2 linked regions of the Saccharomyces cerevisiae S288C genome follow. Changing the gene in region 1 together with any one later gene gives a genetic interaction. Each region holds a gene or a part of one and is shown in the gene's direction. Other genes may lie near its edges.

Region 1 (2,636 bases):
GTGGTAATCCACAGCTGGTATAACATAAAAAGAAGTTTTTTGTAAAAAAAAAAAATTTCTCAGTAAGCATATAAGCCTCAGTGAAATAAAATTTTAACAACTACACGCTATTCTATTCCATTTGCCCTGCTTTTCTCGCTTCGTTATCACCTAACCACTAAGAACATACTAATAATACAAAATTTTTATCCACTTTTTACCAACAGATTTTCATGAAATATCCATCTTCTTTCCGAATTCTGTATAAAATGAAAGAGAGATTTTTTGCTCTCAATCCAGGCTCAAGGCTCTTGAGAACAGGTAATTGTTGTTTAGCACGTTTTCAACACATTTATCAGAAAACGACAGTTAAAAATAAGACGAGCGGCGTTATCATCCTGATAGTCACTAAATGAAAAGCAGGTACTTTTGAAGAGCACATGTAATATTTGCTCAACTGATAATACCTTCATTTTATACACACTTCTAATTTTTTTTTTAAAATCAGATACGCATTGATGTTCAATGTAGCATTACCATCACAAGACAAAAAATCAGAATTTTACAAGCAAAAGCGCTTATCTTTAAGGACCAACATATTAGATGAATTCTTAAGGGTTGCCAAAACGCAAGACAACAGGCAAAATAATTTCGTTTCTCAGTACCGAAATGACGAAATATACTGAGGCAAATGCGATCATCATGCCTTTGCGCCAAGAAACTCCCTTGTGAAGAACTTCAAACCGAAATGGGAAAACTTTGAGTTATTGACAGGGAATACGGAGGGGAAGATCACACTTAAATCCGTATGAGCCGCGCACATAATGGTATTCAAATACACAAGAACATTCATGAGCTATTTTTCATCCGTGCAAACGAATTTACTACAATTGGACCAGAGGGCACCATAACTGGAGACTTTGCTACTGACTCAACGTTGATGATGCGAGTAGTGGGTGTACTGTGATTTGCTCATTTTTTTTTTTATAGAAAGATTCGATTAATGAAAGTCACAGGAGACATTTTTACATAGACATTCCGTATATGTTGCGGGTATCGCGGATGCGGATTAGTGATGCCTTTAACTACATTTCATAGATTTCTGTATACCAATTGAAATGAGTGAAGTAAGCTCCTACAGTGAAATATCTGGGTGCTACTGACGCCAAGCCCTACAGCGATCGGAATGCGGGAACGGAAGTTAACGGGGCTTCCAGAACGGCGGAAGCGAATTGAACGAGGACGGCAAACAAAAACACCCAAAATTTCATTACTTAGAATGACCCTCAAGAGCAGGGTGCAATTTATCAAGCGATCATTGAACTAACTAAGTTCATATCCTGTATAGGATTTAAAACAATGCACCCTAAGTTCAAATGCACCCCCCCTCGCCCCGCAGCGGACCCTTGAACAGAGAACTGTTTCGAGGTTCACCCAATTGGATCACTTGTATAATTTGTAATCGAGTTCGGATAAGATGTATACGAATCTAACTGGGTGCAGTATAATTAGCATTTTATATTACCTAGCAATATATGTATAAAACAGGAATGTGTGCGTGCTTCAGGCAGAATTTTACGGTCCTTGTAAAAAAGTCTATCATAAAGCCATCACAAAACAATAATAATGAAATTCTCAACTATTTTCGGAGCTACTACAGTTATGACTGCCGTCTCGGCAGCAGCTGTGTCGAGTGTAATGACCACTAAGACTATTACTGCTACTAACGGTAATAACGTTTACACTAAGGTCGTTACCGACACCGCTGACCCTATCATTAGTTACAGTACCACTAGAACTGTCGTTGTCAGTAATAGTGATGCTACTTACACAAAGGTTGTCACCGAAGGACCAGATACCACCTCTGAAAAGAGTACAACAAAGACACTTACTTTGACAAACGGTTCAGGTTCATCAACCAACCTTTACACCAAGACCGTCACTCAAGCCGTCGAATCATCTACATCCTCCTCATCCTCCTCATCCTCCTCCTCCTCTTCTGCCTCTTCTTCTGGTGCTGCTCCTGCTGCATTCCAAGGAGCAAGTGTCGGTGCATTGGCCCTTGGTTTGATTTCTTACCTATTATAAGCTCGGTTTCAAACCAGAAAAAAGCTATTAGTTATCGTGTATAGCATATTTATAACTTATCTATGAAAAGCTAATATAATTGTCTTTCTCCTTCAAAAGGCTAGTAAAAAGGACTTTTTTTCATTACGTTTCTCAGTGACTTCAATGTAGCAGTTTTTCGTTTCATCATCATCATCGTATTATTATTATTGTTATTATTATTATTATCATTACTTTTATTAATATTAACTATTTTTTTAGTATGATTTCGGGTATATTTATTTTAATTAGATACTTTTAACCGTTTCAAACAATTAAAGGAAGACCAACGAACTTGAAACAGTATATATACATACATACTTAATGTGTGTTATTAAAATTTTTTTATTCTAACATAACTTCGAAAAAAGGCCAAGCCGCAAGGTGCTTCATAAAAATCGGATATCCCGCATGATTATTCACATATCATTTACAATAACATGACGGCAGCAAGGGCAGCACCCATCAAACCAGTACCAGCGGTGATGGCATCAGCAGCACCGGTGTAACTAGATAATTCAGCGGTGCTAGAGGATGTAGCAGAGGAAGAA
Region 2 (3,607 bases), on another chromosome or scaffold:
TCCATGGGAGGCGGCTTTTTGTTCTGACGGATCCATAAATCCCGTAAAGAAATCTGGGCGAATGTATACAGAGAATTAACGTTACTCATTCCTAGCCTGAAAATCAAAAAGCTTGGCATAAGGGGCATGTACATAGTCTTCATGAAAGAAATGGAAAATTTTTTCAAGGGATGGCTTCACGGTTCCATTATTGCTTCCGGTTTCCGTTACCCTTTAAATCAGATATATAAACAGCCATAAGGAGAACCATTCATTTCTTTATCATCCGCTAAATTTTATTAACGGCATTTTTAAGTACTTCCCACTGGCTAATTACACAGATAAAACTCAAACAAATTTATAATGGCCCCAAAAAAAGTTTTACTCGCTCTTACCTCATATAACGATGTATTCTACAGTGACGGCGCCAAGACCGGTGTTTTTGTTGTAGAAGCCTTACATCCCTTCAACACATTCCGAAAAGAAGGTTTTGAAGTCGATTTTGTATCTGAAACCGGAAAATTTGGTTGGGATGAGCATTCCTTAGCCAAAGATTTTCTAAATGGTCAAGACGAAACGGATTTTAAAAATAAAGACTCAGATTTCAACAAGACATTGGCTAAAATTAAGACACCAAAAGAGGTGAATGCCGATGATTACCAAATTTTTTTTGCATCTGCAGGCCACGGTACCTTATTTGACTATCCTAAGGCTAAAGACTTGCAGGACATTGCTTCCGAAATTTATGCTAACGGTGGTGTTGTCGCAGCTGTTTGTCACGGTCCTGCTATTTTTGATGGGTTAACAGACAAAAAAACAGGAAGACCATTGATCGAAGGTAAATCTATCACCGGTTTTACTGATGTTGGTGAAACCATTTTGGGTGTTGATAGTATTTTGAAAGCCAAGAATTTGGCAACCGTTGAAGATGTTGCTAAAAAATATGGCGCTAAGTATTTAGCTCCGGTTGGGCCCTGGGATGATTACTCTATTACTGACGGAAGACTGGTAACAGGTGTGAATCCTGCTTCTGCGCACTCCACTGCCGTAAGATCCATCGACGCTTTAAAAAACTGAGCCAAAGGTTGATAATTAGAATTTCCTTTGTACTACTATATAGATGTAAGGAACTTTAGGAGGCGTTATTGAGTACGAGGGATGTACCTCATTGTTAATACGTTGAAATATTTGGATATTGGGGAAACACATGTCTGAGATGGGTCTTCCAATAACCAAAGTTTATAATCTTTATCTTTTATCTGCTTTAGCTAGAGGTTAATAGTGAAGACTACATTTGGTCTCCAACAAGGTGCTACAATTTATTTTTCAGCCACTCCGTTGCACAGCATTTATCTAGCCAACGTTAATATCAATGAGAATGGAGAAGAAAGCATTAGCGTCGTTACGCTGCAAATCATCTATGCAATATGTAAAACTATACATAAAACTTTCTAAATTTTTTTTTTTTCATTTTGGTATTTCTGTCAGCTGCCGATGCTTCCTAAAGGGTTTATTCATGTGGGACATTGTAGGTGTGTTTCAGTTATCTAATGGTTATTTGCATCTTAGTGAGCTGTTCCTTGCGGTTTCTTGCTAAATGATCACGAAAAATGTTTTTTTCTCAGGTTAATTATGGCAGAATGTCGACACGAATTGGTCATATTGAAAATATTTAGTAATGCCCATCAATTAAATTGAACGTTATATCATCCGGATAAACAATATCTTCCAGATTAAAAAGGAAAAATAATTTAGGGCATACGTATTAGGTTATTCAACCAGAAATTAGCATTTGGCTGTCTTTAATGCCATCGCTTGGGAACTAGGCAGTTAAATATAAGCACATGTAAAAAAAGTGAAGATCGCGTAACTCATTATTTATAAACACAAGGAGAATGAGCAGCATCAAAAAAACTTCAACCAATAGAAAAAAACATATAGACTAGCTTTAAAACAAAATTAGTGAAGAAATGGATACAGGGAGTGCGAGCATAAAGGACTATGAGACCGTGTTAACGGATATTGAGGATTCTATTGCTGTGAGCAGCGAAGAAGTGCTAAATAACCAAGAACTAAGGCTCAAAAATACATTGCACGAAATTACTTCCAGCATTCTGGCAATAAATGAAGAGAACAAGTTTGTGAATCCTCTTAGGAACGATGAGAGCTTAGACGTAGAGGGAAAGGAGGTCTTTGTAAATCCAAAAATTCTGAGTGCAAAAATCAAGGAGTTCAATAAACTAATGGAGTTACTTAAGTTGACTTACTTGGAACAGGAGACATTGGACTATTTCTTCAGGTTTACTTTGTCCTCGACGAAACCTTTGCAGTTAGATTCCGAAAAAGACCCCCAATTTGTAAAACTTAATGAAAGAGTTAATGATTTAAAGGAAGAAATTTCGAATGTTCAAGAAAGCAAAATAGAACAAATCAAAGCTGAAATCCAAGAGACCGGTCACAACTTTGCAGAAAGGCAAGATTTAATAAATGAGTTGTATCTGGAAGCCACTGGTGATATTGAAAATTGTTGGGATTCGCTCAATGAACTAAAAAATTTAACAAACAAAGAAGATAAGAATATGATGGGAGAAAAAGATACGATATTAAATTCAAGTGATTCAGATGATTTTGTGGAAGAGACATACACGAATTGGCAAAAACTACTATTTTTGCAGAAGCAAAATCAAAGGTTAACGAAAGAGCTCAAGGAAATGCATGAAGTTAAAAATCAAATAATACGAAAAGGAGAGCAATCAAAAAAAGAGGATTCTGGACATTTAATGGCCAATGAATCAGAATTATGTCAGTCAATTAATTTGCTAACAAAATTTTGGGAAAAGCACTTTTTACTCAAAGGGTCAAAGACGACTATATTAAATTTTGAAATCTTTACCCAGCTTGGAAAAGTACAATTTGAAATAAAGGATATGCAATATATAATTGCCATATCTTTAAGCGATTTAAAAAGGCCAATGATAAAAGACATTACTATTTTACAAAAAGCGGGTGGCAATATAGTCACAGACATTGAAGCGAGCAGTAAATTTAACAATAAGTACAGAAATAATACTAAGGTGCAAATCTTTGAGGTAATGGATGACATTATAAGCGAGCTAACAAACGAATAAATTAATTATCTAGATAAAGATGTATGTAATATTACTAGCCAAAAAAAAAGTGAAATCTATCTACGTACTTGTTTTCTTAGTAGATGAATGACGAGACGCGCTTAGGAAAGCACCCATTGCACCCAAATAGCCTTCATGTTTGAGAAAAAACGCTTGCTTTGATCCTTGTGACCAAAAATTAATAGCGTAGCTCAAAGTGTTCATGGTAGTCAAATGTCCTCTGGTATAAGATCCGCCAAAGTATATATTCTGTATATTATTGATTTTAGCTTGCAAATAAGCTATTTGCCCAATATTGTTGGAGATGGCGAATAGAAGACTTTTACAAATATCAGGATTCTTAAACATTTGTCCATTGTTTTTCTCAATAGACTCATGTGAGGAATATAATTTATTTTCGTTGTTTTCCAAAGATTTGTTAGATGTCATTCTATTTTGGAAAACTTTACCAAATGAACTTGCAATAGCTGACGACTTTAGACCAATTTTATTATAGTCTG

Evidence for each region.
Region 2: mutations in FIT2 (region 1) and KRE28 together harm fitness more than expected from each alone (negative genetic interaction), as found in Saccharomyces cerevisiae (one large-scale study listed by BioGRID).

The regions. Positions count from the first base shown.
Region 1 is NC_001147.6:1,057,926-1,060,561, forward strand, and holds FIT2 (Fit2p), read left to right. Parts: upstream 1-1,605; coding exon 1,606-2,067; downstream 2,068-2,636. Other genes in the region: YOR381W-A (uncharacterized protein), read left to right, coding at 498-665; FIT3 (Fit3p), read right to left, coding at 2,516-2,636. UniProt on the Saccharomyces cerevisiae protein: Involved in the uptake of non-siderophore and siderophore sources of iron. Has a role in the retention of iron in the cell wall and periplasmic space.
Region 2 is NC_001136.10:1,498,896-1,502,502, reverse strand, and holds KRE28 (Kre28p), read left to right. Parts: upstream 1-1,949; coding exon 1,950-3,107; downstream 3,108-3,607. Other genes in the region: HSP31 (glutathione-independent methylglyoxalase), read left to right, coding at 343-1,056; CAB1 (pantothenate kinase), read right to left, coding at 3,168-3,607.